Cricetulus griseus: one gene and its partners. The protein of the gene in region 5 binds, or shares a complex with, the protein of the main gene of each other region. Links are inferred from orthologs where the notes say so. Each region holds a gene or a part of one and is shown on either strand. Other genes may lie near its edges. The genes, in order: Kansl2, KAT8 regulatory NSL complex subunit 1, Phf20, Ogt and Kansl3.

Region 1 (3,515 bases), on a different chromosome or scaffold from region 5:
AATAACAGCTTGTGTGGGCTGGTGATATCATGGTGTTAGAGTCCTTCCATGAATGGGGCTCTGGGTTTGACTTTGAGCATTACACATAACACACTAAGCAAAAACAAAACTCAGGGTGAGTTGACTTGGAAGCAGTCAAGTTTCTGGTCCAAATGAGACAGCATCTCATGTAGTCCTGGCTGTTGGGTAACTCACTCTGTATACCAGGCTGGCCTCGAACTTCGAGATCCAGCTGCCTCTGCCTTCTGAGCACTAGGACTAAAGGCGTGCACCACCACCACCACCACCACCCCTGGCTTTCGCACTGGTCTTCAAGGTGTGAATATAATAATCATTTTAAATTTCTTAAAGACAAAAAAAGTTATTTGGTGGCTGAATATTGCTAACTCCTTTCAAGAAAGAACTGATTAAATATTAATGTTTTGTCTCCTTAGGGTATCTTTCTGTGCCGAACATGCTCGAAGGAATGCCCTAGCACTTCATGCTCAAATGAAGAAGAACAATCCAGGCCCTATGGGTGAAACCCTCTTATGCCAGTTGAGCTCATATGCTAAAACAGAGCTGGGCTCTCAGACCCCAGAGAGCAGTCGAAGCGAAGCTAGCCGGATACTGGGTAAGGATGTCAGGGTCTTCTCTGCTGGTGTCAAAAAGGAAGAAGCTAAAGAATGAACTTGGTTTAGTTCAAGGCTTTGTGCATTTGTGGTTGTTACTGGGAATTTGGTGAGAAATCCAGGATTGCTATTGCTAGTTAGTTGTTTTGCTTAGATACATTGTTTTGTTTAGATACATTCTCCTGATCTGCTGATCTTTCCTTCTGTTAAATTTTTAAAAAGTTAAAAAATTTGAATTTTAAGGTTTCAGGTTCATCTCTTAAGTAATGTAGCTTCATGTGTGGAGTTACAGAGGTGGGAAGTCTTAATGGCTATTCTTCCTTCCTTGCCTCAGATGAAGACAGCTGGAGTGATGGGGACCAGGAACCCATTACTGTGGATCAGACATGGAGAGGTGACCCTGACAGTGAAGCTGATAGCATAGACAGTGATCAAGAAGATCCCCTAAAGTAAGTTGTAACTCCACCTAAGGCTTTTACATATTTTATGTAGTTAGTATGTGAAATGTAGTGAGGCATGTGGTTAATTAATACAAGTGGGTTTAAGTGTCATGGTTCAACACCATCTTGCTCCAAGGCAAGATTTCTTGATTCTTTTATGGAAGTCTTGGAACTGAGTTATGCCCATGAGATGTTATAGGGAAGAAAGATACCTTGACATAGGAATGGGAGGGAGATAGACAGAAAAGCACTGGCTGGCTAGAGAAGAGAAAATGGATTTAAATACATGCTTGTCATAAATCTCAGAAATAATGAGCTATTATACTTGGACACTTGCTGCAAAATTCTATGGTTCTGACTTTTTAAATGGGAAATAAAAGTGCTCAGTAATTTGTTTTGGTTTCATGTCTAATGAAAGGAAAACTGATTTAATTATATGTTAAGGTCTGCTGTAACCCCTGGTCATCTAAGAGTTGTAGAAATATTGAACATTGCCATTGAAATCTAATAATTTTTTGAGGCAGGATCTCATTATGTATCTCTGACTGGCTCAGGCTTCTGTTTCTTCTAGTACTAGTTTTTGAATCATCTTAGGGTTAGATACTATGTCTTCACTTATGTATTACAGTTTCTTTGTAACAGTCCTGGCTGTCCTGGAACTCATTTTGCAAGCCAGGCTGGCCTTGAACTAACCGAAATCCACCTGCTCTGCCCCCAGAGCGCTGGGATTAAAGGTGTGTGCCACCACCCAGCTTTTTATTGGTTTTTTTGAAGACAGGGTTTCTCCGAGTTGCCCTGGCTGCTCTGGAATTCATTCTGTAGACCAGGCTGGCAGGGAAATCCGATCCTCTTGCCTCTGCCTCCCCAGTACTGGGATTAAAGCAGTGTGCCAAATTGTTGGGTAGGTATTTATATTGTTGTTGAATACACTTAATGTACTGCAGTAACTGATTTTTTTCACACTATAGTTATATAGATGGGATTTTTTTCTTCAAAGTAACCATTAAATTGCTTTGTAAAACATAATCTTAACAATTTCATTTTTAAAGCTTATTTACAAGATTTATAACATTTTAGCCAAAGTATAATGGTTAGGTCTTGTTTCCTTTTAAAATTTGACTTCCATACTATTGTTTATATTCTCTGCTGCTAGAGTGAAAAATAATTTCCTATTACTTGTTTTTAGTTTTGGATTTTTGAGGCAGAGTCTACCTGATCAGCCCTGATTGACCTCAGACTTAAATATTCATTCTTCCTGAGCCTCCTTAGTTCTGGGATGACAGGCATGCATTACCATGCCTGCTTTAATTTCATTTTAATAAACTTGTCATTAGGTTAGTGTTTTATATCACTTATTAATGCAGGCATAGCCTATTACCTTGTTTACATAGGAAGAATTACTTTTACTCCCCCCCCCCCCCCCCAGACAGGGTTTCTACTACACAGAGTAGCTTTGGAGCCTATCCTGGCACTCACTCTGGAGACCAGGCTGGCCTCGAACTCACAGAGATAAGCCTGCCTCTGCCTCCCAAGTGCTGGGATTAAAGGCGTGCACCACCAACGCCCGGCTACTTTTACTTTTTTCAAAATAAAGGGTTTATGTAAGTGTTTTGCCTTCGTATGTAGTGTGCCACATGTATGTCTGATTTCCATAGAGGTCAGAAGAGGTCACTGAATACACTGGAACCAGAGTACTGCATGGTTGTAAGCCACCATGTGGTTACCTCTGTAATAAGTGGTCTTAACACCCCCCCCCCCCCCTGCCGCCCCAAGCTATCTCTCATCATTCTTATAAGACAGCATCTGTGTATCCATGGCTGGCCTTGAACTTAAGAACCTCCTGCCTCTGCCTCATGAGGGATAGGGTTGCAGGTGTGGGCCACCATACCTGACTGGGTGTCATAATTTTTACAGTTTTCTGGTTTTGTTCTTTTTTTTTTTCCAAAGATTTTATTTATTATGTATACAACATTCTGCTTCCATGTACATCTGCACACCAGAAGAGGGCACCAGATCTCATAACAGATGGTTGTGAGCCACCATATGGTTGCTGGGAATTGAACTCAGTACTTCTGGAAGAGCAGTCGGTGCTCTTAACCTCTGAGCCATCTCTCCAGCCCCTGGTTTTGTTCTTGATTTTTCTTTTCTGTTTTACTTGACTTTTCTTTGACGTTAACTACTATTCTAAATACGTGCATATTGGTTTCACTTTTAAAGTTTTGGCAGATTTGCTTTCAGTCCTGAAGTAAATTTTTTTCTGTATTCTGTATATTTCAGAATATAGGGAAAAATGTTTTTAAGACCCGGTCTCATGTACCTCAGGCTGTTCTCAATAGGCTGTGGAGCCAAGGATGACTTTAAACTCCTCATCTGAGTGCTCTGATTATAGGAATGCATCAACCATACTTTATGTATGTACTTTTTTTTTTTTTTGGAGCCAAGGTCTATATAACCCTGTCTGTCC
Region 2 (4,310 bases), on a different chromosome or scaffold from region 5:
CAACGGCCACGGGCTCCGGCCGCGAGCCCCGGCCCCGGCCGCCCCTCCTAACAATGGGACCGGGCCGGAGGAGTCGCGGGCCGCAGGGGGTGGGGGAGCTCCCGGACGAGGGTCGGAGGCGGGGGAGGGGCGGGACTGGCGCTCTCTGGATCTCGGCCCCGAGGTTCTGTGGAACCTGGGGGTCGCGTCGCGTCGCCTCGCGGGTGGGGGCGGGGGTGGGGAGGGGCGCTCAGGCTCGCCTGCGAGTCGGGTCAAGAGTCAAACTCCTCCGGTCCCCACCCCCCAAATCCGGTGAGCGGTAGGCAAAGTGATGCCAAGTCTCCCTAACCGAAGTGACAAACGCGGAGACAGAGCAAACCCACCCCAGTGCTTTATTTTATTTTTAAAACGGGGGACCTCGACTCTGAATTTAAGAAATTATTTTTTTAAAGAGGTGAGTGTGTTATTTTTGTGTTCCTACGCGGGCAAGCCTCCATTTTAAGTGAAGCAGTAACTGGTTAAGCTGGAATGTTCATTCAGGCCTAGGACTTAAGGCTCCTACAAGGAAGGGGTCATTTAGTCCATCCTTTTGCGTCCCTACACACTTAGCACCCACCATCTTCAAAATTAATTCCTCTGGGCTGCTTTTAAAGATCTCTGGGAAAGAAGGATCTTTTCTCCCCCCCTCCATTTTTTTTTTTTAACTTGTAGTACTTCAGTGAAGAATAGCAACAATTATTATAATGATGATGATGTAGAATCAGCTCTGAAACTTTATTTATTTATTTATTTATTTATTTATTTATTTATTTATTTTGGTTTTTTGAGACAGGGTTTCTCTGTGGCTTTGGATCCTGTCCTGAAACTTGTAGCTCTTGTAGACCAGGCTGGTCTCGAACTCACAGAGATCCGCCTGCCTCTGCCTCCTCAGTGCTGGGATTAAAGGCGTGCACCACCAACGCCCGGCTGAAACTTAATTTTAAGAAAAGTTAGGACATTGGAGTTGCCAGAGAGGTTTACATTTATTAAATAAAAGTAGCTGTAGACTTTTTTTTTCCGGTGACGAGTTAATAAATCACTTTCAGTAGTGCTTATGAAATAATACTCTGGGAGAATGGGAGAATAACTTTTCCTCCTGGATTTTGGTTTTCTGAATCTTTAATAAGTAATTTTTGATTATTTAAAATTTATGGTCTCTGATGTAAAATATACATGTGAAATTCCCTTTCCAAAGAGAATTGTATATTGTACCTTTTGTTGTTGTTTTTGTGTTTGATACCATCTCAACAAGTAGCCTTGCCTGACCCTGAACTCACTAAGTATACCAGGCCAGTGTTGAACTCCTAGATGACAGCCTGCCTCAGCCTCCTCTGAGTGCTGGGATTAAAAGTGTGTGCCACACCTGCACACTTTCTAGGATGGTAAGGCAGTTGGCACTTAGCATCCTTCCCAGATAGAATAAGCTATTTGCATATTCTAGATTATTGTCATCTAAATGAAACATCCTCCTTTTCAGATCTTGCCACTTTTATCCGTGGTAACTGAGGGGATTTCTTAGTCTCTCCCTGCTTCTTTCTGAGGCTCATCTGAACTATTCCTGACACTATGAATGCTATTTGGATGCCTCTTAAGGTAAGATGTATTGGTTTTTCCTTATTACTTCATATGAGTGTTTTAGAACCAAGAATATTTGTTTGCTATTTGTGTTTTGAGACAGGGTCTCATGGTAGCCCAGGCTGCCTTGAACTTTTTAGATTGCTAAGCATGCCTTTAACTTCATGAACTTCCTGTCTCAACATTCCAAATGCTAGGATGTTCTTGAATTTACAACTCTTCAATTACCTTACAGGATACTTATCCTGAGGACTATTAGCTTCTTAGGATTTGTATTATTGCTGTTCTTGATTGGTGTTAAAATATTAATGAAGTTCTCAAATTAACTTTTATTATAATGATGAGTTCATTTTTTAAAATAATTTATTTAACTTTATTTTATGTGCATTGGTGTGGAGGTATCTGGAACTGGAGTTACAGACAGTTGTGAGCTACCATGTGGGTGCTGGGAATTGAACCTGGGTCCTCTGGAAGAGTAGCCAGAGCTCTTAACCACTGAGCCATCTCTCCAGCCCCAGAGTTCATTTTTTTTTTTTTTTTTTTAAACCTTAAATTATTACAGCTTGCATACTAGTAAAATTCTGTTCCAAACCTGGCTTATGGGGTTGGCAATTCAGACTTTGAGGTCCATTTTCAAACAGGTACTTACTTTAGAGTCATATGAACTTGGGTGTGTCCCACTTTTGCAAATCAGAGCTGATTCATGTGTTACAAAAGATGTGTCATTAACCATTTGTTTACTCTGAAGTTTCATATAGTATATTAAGGTTTATGTGTACAACTCTTCATCTGCTGCTCCTTAGGCCAGTTCATGAACCCTTACACTAATTTTTTTCAACAGGTAGCCATTGTGTCCTTTCATTTCAAGGGCAATGTGGGACAGTGACCATTTGTCTCTTATGGTTCTTTCTGATCTGTTCGGAGATGGCAGAAGAACTCTTGGTTAGGGCTAAGCAGAAGACTGAGCTTAAGGCTTGAAAGTGAGGAAGTGAGAGGGAGGACCAAGAACTGATAAGTAGTGCTAGAAGTCCTCTGTCAGCCTCGCCTTCCTTGAGAGTTAGATAATGATATAGTTAAGATTGTTTTGATCTGCTCCATGTAATTCCAGAATAGTATAGTGGGTAAATCAGAATAATGCAGTCTGTGTAACCTAAATATTTGGACTTTTGGGAAATCTTTAGGTAATGTAGACTGGATCTTATCCTCACTTTTGTTCTGGCTGCTCTTGTTGGATGAGTGCATATATTAATATAAAGGGGTCCAAAGTGACTCATTCTTTGCAGTCTTTTCCCCATGGTACAGCTGGAGGGATTGAATGGGGAAACAGTCTGAAGAATCGATTGCCTAGGAACTGGAGGACCTTGTATAATTGTGTTTTCATTTCCTTTTTTAAAAAAATACATTTATTTTTATTTATGTGTGTTGGTTTTTTGCCTGCATGTATATCTGTGTCACAGTGTCAGAACTCCTGGAACTGGAGTTGACAGACAGTGGTAAGCTGCCATGTGGGTGCTGGGATTGAACCCTGGGTCCTATTAGTTAGTATTCTTAACTGCTGAGCCATCAGGACTTGCTGACTTCTATGACCAGTATATTAGATTTCATGTTTCAGCTTCCTTGGTTTTAAGGTATTAAATATATTGAGGCCTACTTTTTAAAGATGTGTGAAGTGTTTAAGGTTTTACCTCTAATGGTAAACCTGGGGAATTACCAGAGTCCTTTGACTTGTCGGAAATACAGTCAGTGTCCTATAGTAAGTATGAATTATTATCTCTTAACTACTCGAGAATGTAATTATGTGGCTGCCTTAGTTTTATGTTTCCTACCAATCCTTTGATCGGTGTAAAACTGTGCTAAGTTTAAGCTTTGTTGTTTTGAGATAGAATCTTGCTATATGGTCTAGACTGGCCTAGTACTCTAATGACTCTGCCTCCCAAGTGCTGAGATTTCAGGCATAAGCCATAAACAGTTTTTTTTTTTTCTTCACATTTTCTACCTTTATTTTTTTTTTTTTAGAAATCAGTTTTTTTTTTTTTTAATGTATTTACTTTTTATATGCATTGGTGCTTTGCCTGCAGGTATGCCTGTGTGGGAGTGACAGATCTTGGGAGTTACAAACAGCGTTGAAGTGCATAGGGGTTCTGGGATTTGAACTCCGGTCCTCTCGAAGAGTAGTCAGTGCCTTTGACCGCTGAGCCATCTCTCCAGCCCCTTCCTCCCATTTTTTATACTTAACATTTCAAAATACGTTTAAATTGGCAGAAACAGTACGTTTTTTTCTATATTTTCAAATTAGAGTTTTTTTTATTTTATTAATTAAATTTTTTACTTGTATTTTATGTATGTTGGCGTTTTGCCTGCATGTATGTCTGTGTGAAGGTGTCAGATCCCCTAGAACAGGAGTTACAGACAGGAGTTACAGACAGGTGTGAACTGCCATGTGGTAGGTCCTCTGGAAGAGTAGCCAGTGCTCATAACCACTGAGCTATGTCTCTAGCCCTTTGTTTTTGTTTTTGAAACAGGGTTTCTCTGTGTAGCCTTGACTGTCCTGGATCTCTGTAGATCAGGCTGGCCTCAAACTCACAGAGAACTGTCTGCCTCTGCCTCCCAAGTGCTAGGATTAAAAGCATGCACTGCCACACCACCACCAAGTTATATTTTTAAATAAAAAGAAATGAGACTTTAATTAAAGTGTATACATCATGGCAAATGTTCAT
Region 3 (3,515 bases), on a different chromosome or scaffold from region 5:
CTTTTTTGGTGTTTTTTACTTATTTTCCATTCTGTGTGTTAGGCTGGCAGCACGTGGCTTGGGCAGCCCTGCTTTTCTGCCTTTTTGATGCTGCCTCACTCTGTGTGCATTTTTGCTGACCTTCTTTCACTTTAACCAATTCTTTGAAGTACTTATAGCCCTTGCTGTATGGGTAGAAGGCCTTTTTTTTTTTCTTCTTTAATTTTTAAAAAATCACCTATTACTTATTTTTGTGTGTGCATGTCTGCACTTGTGCCACAGGATGTGTGGTCAGGAGATAACTTGTGGGACTTGTTTTCTTTGCCGAATAGGAACTGGGGATTGACTACAGATTGTCTGGCTTGGAAGCATCTGTTGGCTGGCTCTGTCTGTCTGTCTGTCTTTTGAAATGAAACCTCATTATGGCCTGGAACTCATTCTGCAGATTAGGCTGGCCTCGAACTCCACCTGCCTCTGCCTTTCAAATGCTGGGATTAAAGATGTGTGCTACCAACCTTGGTCCTCTTTTTCCCTCTGGTTTCCTTCCTTTCTCTCTTTTTAATGTGTCTGTTCCAACACCCGCAGAAGAGCATTGGATGCCCTGGATTTGGAGTTGCGGGTGGTTTTGAACTGCCTAACGTGCTGCTGGGATGTGCACTTGAGTCGTGTGTGGTCTGACTCTGAACCATCCCTCCAGCCCCTGAAGAGTGGCCTCACATATTGTCTTCTAAGGCGTCTCAGGCTTCCTAGTGTGTTTTGGAACTCTTTATTTCTTGATTGTTTACATATATATTTCCCAAGCACTCTTTATTTCTTCCTCTAGGTCAGTTGAACTCTCCATTGGAAGCTGGCCAGGTCTCATCTGTATTAACTTGCCACTCCTCTGGGGATGGACTGGGAGCTGCAGGCTTGGAGTTGAACTGCAAGTCAATGGGAGAAAACACTATGAAAACTGAACCGGTGTCTCCTCTTGCTGAGGCGCAGGAGGTTTCGACTGTTGAAGGTGTGTGTTTAGAATGAACTTAATTGTGTATACTTTTGTATATGTGTATACTTACTCTTTTACTTAAACTATAAGGTGTGTGTTTGTTTGTTTGTTTTCTGAGACAGGGTTTCTCCGTGTAGCCCTGGCTATCCTGGAACTTGCTCTGTAGGCGAGGCCTGCCTCTGCCTCCTGAGTGCTGGGACTAAAGGTGAGCACCCCAGCCACCACCCAGCTCATTAGTAATATTTTAAGGCCTTCACACCTATACTATAATCTCCACATTAGAGAAGCAGAAGTAGAAGCATTGTCACATGTTCAAGACCAGCCTCATTTAAGTAGAGGGCTCCAGGCTAGCCAAGGTTTCACAGTGAGGCGATCTCAAAAGATACATACATACATACATACATACATACATACATACATACATACATACATACATACATACATACTGGAATAAAAGCCCGAGTGAGTGAGTGAGTGTGTGTGTGTGTGTGTGTGTGTGTGTGTGTGTGTGTGTGTGTGTGTTTCAGACAATCTCACTATGTAGCTCTGGCTGTCCCCTATGTAGACCAGGCTGGCCTATAACTCACAGAGATCTTCCTACCTCTCTCTTCCCAGTGCTGAGATTAAAGATGTACGCCACCATTCCTGGAAAAATTCTTTAATTTAATGCTATGCTCCATTCATTTCTGATTTTGTTACTATATTCTCTTGTGGTAAATTTGACTATCATCAATTTTATTGATCACTTCAAAGAGGTAACCTGGTTAGTTTCTCTATTGTTTTGTCTCTAAAAGATTTGTCCTAGCTTTCTAGGATCTTATAGTTGTTTTAGCCCTGTCATCTTTTCCCCCAGTATGTGTGTGTTTGTGTTTGTATATGTATGGTTGCACATCTACCCATTTAATCAGTAGATGTTAAATGCATGTAAGTTCCAGACCTTATTCTAAACTGTCTTACTTGTGAATGTTCTGTATGTACAGAACATAGATTCATGTGGTTTCTAGATCAGTAGCTCTAACCTCCATAGTCTTGGTGGTTGCTGGTTTATTATAAAGTGAACAGAAAGGCATTTGCCACAGAGCATTAGAAGCCAACAAGTGTTGCAGTTTTAAGTAGGTCTATTTACCATAATGCCTAAAAGAATTGTAGTTTTCACAAACTTAGGTTCTTTAGGCTGTTTGTTTGTTTGAGACTCACTTTGTAGCCCAAGTTGGCTTAGCACTCACTGTGTAGCCCAGGCTATCCCCAAACTCCTAGCCATTCTTCTGTCTCAGCCTCTGAGCGCTAGAATTGCAGGCATAAGTCTCCTGGTTCTGTTTTCTTAAGACTAGTCTTAGATATGTAATCATTCTACTTTGGGAAGTTGTGTCTATAGCCCACTGTATCACCAAGTGGGCTTATCAATTTAAGCCCTCCTGTGTTTTTTTGTCTAACAGAATGGATAATCAAGATGTGAACTCCAGAAGCCCTTAAAATAAATACTGAGAATAGAATGTCCGCACCCCTGTGTGCCTGCTGTGGAGGAACTAAACTCAGAACTCCCTCTCTGAGTCCTCCTGTGTGCCAAAGAGTTCTGGCTGTTCATTTTACAAAGATGAATGGGCATTCTTGGGCTTAGTGTTCTTAACTGCCTCCGGGAGAGAGGTGCGATTTCGGCAGGAGTGGAGGAAGGGTCTTGGAAGGTGCCAGGTAGTCATTTGAAGATGGGCGCAAAGCACTGTGTGGCCCATGAGCCTATCAGGTGTGTGCTTTTTAACTTAACTTAATTGCAGGCTTCCTAAAATAGGTTAAGACCTAACCAGAAAATTGCTGTCAATCTGAGGCCATTTGCTTTGAGGAATTTGTGGAGTTCTTGACTTTGAAGTTAAGTCTAACTTTATAGTAGACAAAGGAGCCCGATAAGTTGCAAGAAGAAGCAACTCATTCAAAACTCTCTGCTTCTATGAATTGCTAGTGTGGTCCCAAATCCTGCCCTCCTGCCGTGTCCCCATCCCACCTGATGAGCTGCTGGGTCACATCTGTGAACACAGGAGAGGAGAGCACAATTGCTGCCTGGAGGGATTTTGTACAATGTAAGGTGCAGGCCCATCTGTTTCCTAGGTGCTTGTTTGTCACAGTCTTGTGTCCACTCTGAATGAGAGGCAGCATGCAGTAGATGATCAGGACTTAAGCCTTTGTAGCTAAAGGGAGACAATTGTCCTAGAAGCAGAATAGTGTTCCTGGGGTTTGTTTTGAAACAAGGGCTCTGTGGGAAATACAGATGATACAGAAAGCTTGCCGGGAGGAAGGCCACTAAAGACTCATGCTCCAGGAATGTGTTATATAAGTGAACAGGAAACGGGCTGAGATGTCAGCAGAACAGCCACAGGGAGCAGGGGCTGCTAGATGCAGCATAGTTACTGGGTAGTGACTGTTCTATAGGTTACCGCCGCAGCTTTGGTGTTCCCAAACCTAGATGGAGTCATGTCTGTGTGAGAGACTCCTAGGCAGCAGTTGCAGCTGGCATAAACAACATGTCAGAGAAGGCTGGCAGCTGGGCCTCCCAAAG
Region 4 (3,515 bases), on a different chromosome or scaffold from region 5:
GAGCTATAGAACTGCAGCCACATTTCCCCGATGCTTACTGCAACCTAGCAAATGCTCTCAAAGAGAAGGGCAGCGTAAGGATTTTTCAGTCTATTTTTATTTCTCTGTTATGTGGGAGAAAAGAAAAGTCTTCATTGTACATGTTAAGTATTGAGATGGGTATATTGGTTTTTGGAGTTTTGGTTGATGGAAAGGAGAATACTAAAACATATCCATTTTGTGGTATATTACTAGCCATTAGGCTCAATGATGCAGTTAAATTACTAGAACATCAGTGGTTTCTCTGATTCTTTTGTGTAGTGTTTGAATGTTTTTTTTTTTTATTTTCTAGGTTGCTGAAGCAGAAGATTGTTATAACACAGCTCTTCGTCTGTGTCCTACCCATGCAGACTCTTTGAATAACCTTGCCAATATCAAACGGGAACAGGGCAATATTGAAGAGGCAGTCCGCCTATATCGCAAAGCATTAGAAGTATGTTGAATGCTGTAGCTGGGTGTCTAGCTAGCCTGTGTGACAGTAGAGGGAAAGAAGTTAAGTTGTTTGCCTGCCATTCACTTCTTAAAGAGGATCATTCATTGTCTTATGGAAGGACCTATGGCATACGAGACATCCCTACACTGAGTTCATTATTTTATGCATAGATGAGATCTGTACAAAGCTAATGACTAGTAAGCTGAGTAAAGCTATTACAAGGAAGAAATAAGGTCAGTGTCTAGTGGTTGGTAGGTGTGGTAGGAGTTTAGAAAAGAGGCTGCATTACTCAGTATGAGTAACAGGAAGCGAGGCCTATGTCAAGTTTGAAATGAAGATAGGGATAAAATGGAGGAAGCAGTAGAATTTAAGCTATTAGACCAGAAGAATGAATAAACTTGGAAAAGGTGGAGAGAAGATAAGATATGTTGTGAAGTTCTCAGAGTTGTGGGAGGTAATTGGGAGATTATGCTATTTAATGTCAGCTGTGATTGTGACTCTGTAGGTCTTCCCAGAGTTTGCTGCTGCACATTCCAATTTAGCAAGTGTACTGCAACAACAGGGCAAGCTGCAGGAAGCACTGATGCATTATAAGGAAGCCATAAGGTAAAAAGTTTATAGCTTTTTTCTATTCTTCTTTTTGAGATTATAATATAATTGTACCATTTACCCTTCCCTGCAAAACCCTCCTGTATACTCTCCTTGCTTTCAGATTCATGGCCTCTTCCTCCATTAATTGTTGTGACATGCATAAATGTATGTTTTTATATGCAGATATGTTTCCTTCTTTATTTTTATGTTTTTTTTCGAGACAGAGTTTCTCTGTGGCGTTGGAGCCTATCCTGGCACTCGCTCGTGTAGACCAGGCTGATCTCGAACTCACAGAGATCTGCCTGCCTCAGCCTCCTGAGTGCTGGGATTAAAGGCGTGTACCACCACTGCCTGCGCAGATATGTTTCTAAATATAATTTGCTCAATATGTATAATGTTACTCAGATATATTTTTTCAGAGCTGACTATTTGGTATTAGATAACCAGTTAGTGTTCTTCACTGTAGATGACTATTTCTCCCACTCAGCATTCCTTAGATACCTGTATTTCTTGGTGTGGGGTTGAGGCTTCATGGGCTTTCCCCCATCCACATCAGCAACCCCTCCCCTCCCATTTCCTCCCCTCCCCCCTTCTCTCCTCCCCCCTATTATTTATTTATTTATTTATTTATTTATTTATTTATTTATCTGGGTTTTTCAAGTCTGGGTTTCTCTGTAGCTTTGGAGCCTGTTCTGGAACTCTGTAAAACAGGCTGGCCTAGAACTCAACAGAGATCCATCTGCCTCTGCCTCCCTAATACTAGACTTAAAGGTGTGTGCCTCCATGCCCAGCTTTTCCAAATACTTTGATAACATTAAAGATTTTACAGGAGATAATCAAACCCTTCTGTTCTCCTTCAGAATCAGTCCTACATTTGCTGATGCTTACTCTAATATGGGAAACACTCTAAAGGAGATGCAAGATGTTCAAGGAGCTTTGCAGTGTTATACTCGTGCCATTCAGATTAATCCTGCCTTTGCAGATGCACACAGCAATCTGGCTTCCATTCACAAGGTACTGCTACTTAGTCTAACATGGGCACCTTAGCACTGAAGTTTCATTGTAGGAAACTCCTTATGAGCTTGCTTTCCTTCCAGGATTCAGGGAATATCCCAGAAGCAATAGCTTCTTACCGCACAGCTCTGAAACTTAAGCCTGACTTTCCTGATGCCTATTGTAACTTGGCTCATTGCTTGCAGGTAAAGAATTATAGTCCAGTGTTTTTCTTTATGTATTATTACCACTTTTTAATTTTTATGTGCCATAATATCCAAGCCTGGCTGGAGATTGTTATTTTTTAGCAAGTGGAGGGCAGTGGGCCGCTTTCAGGAGTCATTTCTCTCTTAACACGTGGGTCCCAGGCATTGAACTCCAGTTGTCAGGCTTTCAGTGAACCAGCCCCAAGACCATGTTTTTAGGAGGTTATCTAATACTATTTTAGGAAGTCAAAGACTTGTAAAATAAATCCTTGGCTAGGTTTTCTGGGTGATGATAATTTCCTTTTGCTTCCTCTAGATTGTCTGTGATTGGACAGACTATGATGAGCGAATGAAGAAATTGGTTAGTATTGTAGCTGAACAGCTAGAGAAGAATAGGCTGCCTTCTGTGCATCCTCATCACAGTATGCTGTACCCTCTTTCTCATGGCTTCAGGAAGGCTATTGCAGAGAGGCACGGGAATCTCTGCTTGGATAAGGTGACTCTTGCTTTAATTTTTCCGTTATAAACTACAATGCAAATAAATAAAAACATTGTACAAATCAAATGTAAGGTATGGTAACATCACCCAAGTCAAGAAATTGAAACTTTCTTAGCCACTCTCAGTGTGTCCTGTGTTCAGTTGAACTTCCTTCACTCCAAACAAGGATGGAGACTTGTTTTCCGTAAGGTGAAAATCACAGCTAGGTATAGTGGTGCAAACCTATAATCCCAATACTTTCAACACTTAAGAGGATTGTGAATTGAGGCCAGCCTGGGCTATATAGCAATCTCCTGCCTCAAAAACAAAATCAAGCAAAAATCTCCACTTAATAAGAACATCTTAAGAGCAAACTAAAAGGCCGGGCGTTGGTGGCGCTTGCCTTTAATCCCAGCACTCTGGAGGCAGAGGCAGGCGGATCTCTGTGAGTTCGAGACCAGCCTGGTCTCCAGAGCGAGTGCCAGGATAGGCTCCAAAGCTACACAGAGAAACCTTGTCTTGAAAAACCAAAAACCAAAAACAACAACAAAAAACAAACTAAAGGCAACAACAACCAAAGCCCCACTGGTGTTTAAATAAAGTGTATGGTATTATATACTCAACTTTGACAATTGTCAAACTCAACTCAACTGATAAGAGTTTGGGATCTGTTCTAAAAAACAGTAGTAGATTAAAATTTCTTTTCCCCTTTTCTTTCCTTCCTTTTTACACAAAAATGCTTCTGCAGAATCCCCTAAAATAATCATAATAGAAT
Region 5 (3,515 bases):
CCCTGGGACCCTGCCGTTGGTGTGCTTTCTCATAACAAACCAGTAAGTTGGTTGCTCAGCCTTAACTGGCACATACAATGTTCAGACTGAGCCTTAGAGGTTTGGCAAGGGAAGATAAGTGGCTTAACTTTCTCATTAATAGCTTGGGTTCTTCTTAAAGATTCATTTATTTTTAAAGTGGGATTCTGCACTTCAGTGCAGGTGTTCATGGAGGTCAGAAGAGGGAACTGAGTTACAGGCACTTGACATGGGTGCTGGCAATTGAACTCTGCTTCCCCGGAAGAGCAGTGAGTGCTTTTAACTGCTGAGCTGTCTCTCCAGCAAAGGATCAGTGGTTGGTATAAGCTGTTGGGATGTAGTTGTTGAGAGTTTATATAAAGATGAATGAATACTTCTCACTCAGTGGTTCTTGGATGGGATTCTGTCTCCTCAGAGTAAACTCCCTGGCTCTCCTTTGATTCTCATCGCCTCCTCTGGTCCCTCCAGTTCTGTGTTCCCTGCCTCACGCCGCCACCGCTTCTGGCAGTCGCAGCTTTCCTGCTTAGGCAAGGTAATTGTAAGAACAAGGAGTTCTGGGTAGGATTGTAGTCTTAGGGGTTAAAGGGAAGGGTGTGGGGGAGGGGTCAAATTTATTGAACTCAAATGTGGTTTATCCCCTTATCTCTAAGGGTATAAACTCTGGAAACCCTTTTTGTGTTTGTATCACCTGTCTCAGAGATTTGGGATGAGTTAAGCAGAATTGAGGTTTGAAACTTGGCCCTTCTGACGTGGATGCTCTTTCTTCCCTTTAGGTCATTCCTGTAGCCACCCATCTGCTGAACAATGGTAGTGGGGTAGGAGTTCTGCAGTGCCTTGAACACATGATTGGGGCAGTGAGAAGCAAAGTGCTGGAGGTGAGAATGCCCAGGTTTGGTTCACAGAAGGGCACCCAGTAGTGTGGGATTGCTCTGTGCCCATGCACAGTCTCCTATTTACTCTCTTCTTTTTCTTGCCATAAAGATTCACAGCCATTTCCCACACAAACCCATCATCTTGATTGGATGGAATACAGGAGCTTTGGTGGCCTGTCATGTAAGTAATTTCTGTTTTATTTGGAGAACACTGAAAACTTAAATGTGGTCATGAAAAACAGTGCTGCTATTATTACTTTGAATTCTTCTTTGTCTTTGTGCTAGATACTTAGCATGGGAAACTGCATTTACATTGTGGAAGACAATCTCATTAGTTTTTAAATGTTGTAATGGAAATGTTACTATAGCAAGAATAGAGTAGTGAGTAAATTCTTTGATCTCCTAGTTTTACCAGAGTTCAACTCATAGCCAGGCTTACTTTTGTCTTATTCCTGCCCACTTTCTCTGTGCTCCAGATTATTTTGAAGAAAGTTTCAAAGTATGATGACACATGGTTATAATCTTAGCACTAGGTAGGCTGAGGCAGGAAGATTGCCATGAGTTTGGTGCTAGCTTGGGCTATAATAATGAGTTCTGGGCTAGCCCAAACTTCTTAGGAAAAGAAAACAGTATTAAAATGTTCCAAATATAGCCAGGCAGAGGAGGCAAAGGCAGATGGATCTCTTGAGTTCAAGGCAAGCCTGGTCTACAGAGCAAGTTCCAGGACAGCCAGGGCTACACAGAGAAACCCTGTCTGGAGGGGTGGAGGAGTTCCAAACACTTCCAGACTTCAATACCTGTGCTCTCTCCTTAACATTTCAAATGGGGACAGATTAGTAGTTTTGAATTTGATGTTGTATTTGTGTTTGCTTCCTTTAATAAGTATCAATGGACATTTTTTTTTTTTTTTTGGCATGTATATGTAAGCTTGTGTAAGTATCCTTGACTTTTGAAAGCTCCATTTCTTCAACTAGTGTAGTCAAGTATGCTATCTAGAGTAGTGAGATAGCAAGTGTCTGCTATAATCTGCACACCCGAGGCCAGACCTCTCAGTAGTCACTTACTTTGAGAAGTCTCAGCTGTGTAGGAACTAGCCCTGAAAACCACTGATAAGAGATTTCTCCACTTAAGGGACAGGCTGGTATTAAGTTTTGTCTATGTTGTGGGGTGTTTCTCTGTGTTCTGAGGATGGAACCCAGGGCTTGCACATGTGAGGTAATTGTGCTACTCTGAACTAGCTGTATCTCCCTGCCTGGCAACATTTATGTTCTTTTGCTTATATTTGTTCTCAATAACAAAGTCAGTCAAGAGGGCTCTAGTTGAGGTTGCTCTCAGGGCTGAAAAGTGACAACTCTATCAGGCTCCGGTGTATGTGGGGGTCTGTCAGGGCTCCAGTTCTCTAGGAAGTGACTGCCTGTGTTTTGTACACTTAATCATGTCATGGCTAACAAAAATGAAAGCTAGGACAAGCAAGAAAAGCTGGAACTGACTGGTGGCTCTAAACTAGCCAGTCCCACCTGCAGTCTGGGGAGGCTGAGGTACAGTGAATTCACTTGCCAAAAGATGAATGGTGCCTTTATTTACAGGTGTCTGTGATGGAGTATGTCACTGCAGTTGTCTGCCTTGGGTTTCCTCTGCTTACTGTGGATGGCCCCCGGGGGGTAAGAGCGAGGTGAAACTGGTTGGTCTTTGGCAGTGGAGTGGGGGCAGCAGGAATGTGGGACAGTGGAGTGAGGCCTCCCACAGGTTCACAGCTGACGCAGGTTCAGTTTCTGAACCGATTCAAGGTCAGTCAGTGCTTCCTGAGCACCAATTGGCTGAATCTAAACTGCTGCCTTCCTCTTTTAGGATGTGGATGATCCCCTCTTGGACATGAAGACACCAGTCCTCTTTGTCATTGGTCAGAATTCTCTACAGTGTCACCCCGAAGCCATGGAGGACTTCCGGGAAAAGATTAGAGCAGAAAATAGCTTGGTGGTGGTTGGGGGCGCTGATGATAATCTCAGGTGGGTGCATTGCTCTAGAGCTGAGAGGGAACATGTTAGAATGTTAAAAAATTTCTTGTCTGGGGTCAGTGTAATGACAGACCAGCGTGACCAAAATTACAATTAAAAGTTGCATCCTATAATCCCAATATATGTTCAGAAGGCTGAAGCAGAAGGATTCAGTTTGAGGCCAGCCTGGCCCTTGAACTTGTCTCAAAAACTTAAAACAAAAAGCTGTAAAAATAGTACAAAAAATACGAAATCTCATGTATCCTTCACCTAAGTTTCTTGTATAACCAAAATACAATCTTAAAATGAGGAAACTAATGTCAATTTGATAGCATTGTCTAGTCTAAATAACAAACTTAGATTTCATCAGTGTCTACCTAGTGTCTGTGTCTCTTTTTTGAGATAGGATTTCTTGTAGCCTAGGCTGAACTCAGATTTACCATGTACTGAGGATGACCCTTACTGAAGACATCCTTCTGACCTAACTACTAAATCTCCATACCCAGTCTTCAGTGTTTGTTTTCTGTGACCTTAACACCATTAAAGACAGCTGACCAGTTATGCTACAGATAGTTTTTAAAAAGTATTTTAGGATTACATTGAAGATGTTCAATGTATTCTGTCAGTCAGG

Evidence for each region.
Region 1: Kansl3 (region 5) and Kansl2 share a complex: the UniProt entries of both Homo sapiens proteins name them as parts of the NSL complex. The link is inferred for Cricetulus griseus from reciprocal best matches to the Homo sapiens genes KANSL3 and KANSL2.
Region 2: Kansl3 (region 5) and KAT8 regulatory NSL complex subunit 1 share a complex: the UniProt entries of both Homo sapiens proteins name them as parts of the NSL complex. The link is inferred for Cricetulus griseus from reciprocal best matches to the Homo sapiens genes KANSL3 and KANSL1.
Region 3: Kansl3 (region 5) and Phf20 share a complex: the UniProt entries of both Homo sapiens proteins name them as parts of the NSL complex. The link is inferred for Cricetulus griseus from reciprocal best matches to the Homo sapiens genes KANSL3 and PHF20.
Region 4: Kansl3 (region 5) and Ogt share a complex: the UniProt entries of both Homo sapiens proteins name them as parts of the NSL complex. The link is inferred for Cricetulus griseus from reciprocal best matches to the Homo sapiens genes KANSL3 and OGT.

The regions. Positions count from the first base shown.
Region 1 is NC_048595.1:395,010,434-395,013,948, reverse strand, and holds part of Kansl2 (KAT8 regulatory NSL complex subunit 2), read left to right. Parts: intron 1-434; coding exon 435-613; intron 614-945; coding exon 946-1,060; intron 1,061-3,515. UniProt on the Homo sapiens protein: Non-catalytic component of the NSL histone acetyltransferase complex, a multiprotein complex that mediates histone H4 acetylation at 'Lys-5'- and 'Lys-8' (H4K5ac and H4K8ac) at transcription start sites and promotes transcription initiation.
Region 2 is NC_048600.1:117,493,633-117,497,942, reverse strand, and holds the start of KAT8 regulatory NSL complex subunit 1, read left to right. Parts: upstream 1-1,495; 5' UTR 1,496-1,611; intron 1,612-4,310. UniProt on the Homo sapiens protein: Non-catalytic component of the NSL histone acetyltransferase complex, a multiprotein complex that mediates histone H4 acetylation at 'Lys-5'- and 'Lys-8' (H4K5ac and H4K8ac) at transcription start sites and promotes transcription initiation.
Region 3 is NC_048599.1:23,320,048-23,323,562, reverse strand, and holds part of Phf20 (PHD finger protein 20), read left to right. Parts: intron 1-802; coding exon 803-982; intron 983-3,515. UniProt on the Homo sapiens protein: Methyllysine-binding protein, component of the MOF histone acetyltransferase protein complex.
Region 4 is NC_048604.1:68,615,422-68,618,936, reverse strand, and holds part of Ogt (UDP-N-acetylglucosamine--peptide N-acetylglucosaminyltransferase 110 kDa subunit), read left to right. Parts: coding exon 1-74; intron 75-331; coding exon 332-472; intron 473-977; coding exon 978-1,078; intron 1,079-1,923; coding exon 1,924-2,077; intron 2,078-2,160; coding exon 2,161-2,262; intron 2,263-2,578; coding exon 2,579-2,758; intron 2,759-3,515. UniProt on the Homo sapiens protein: Catalyzes the transfer of a single N-acetylglucosamine from UDP-GlcNAc to a serine or threonine residue in cytoplasmic and nuclear proteins resulting in their modification with a beta-linked N-acetylglucosamine (O-GlcNAc).
Region 5 is NW_023276807.1:11,846,494-11,850,008, forward strand, and holds part of Kansl3 (KAT8 regulatory NSL complex subunit 3), read left to right. Parts: coding exon 1-42; intron 43-433; coding exon 434-550; intron 551-791; coding exon 792-893; intron 894-999; coding exon 1,000-1,071; intron 1,072-2,476; coding exon 2,477-2,551; intron 2,552-2,738; coding exon 2,739-2,896; intron 2,897-3,515. UniProt on the Homo sapiens protein: Non-catalytic component of the NSL histone acetyltransferase complex, a multiprotein complex that mediates histone H4 acetylation at 'Lys-5'- and 'Lys-8' (H4K5ac and H4K8ac) at transcription start sites and promotes transcription initiation.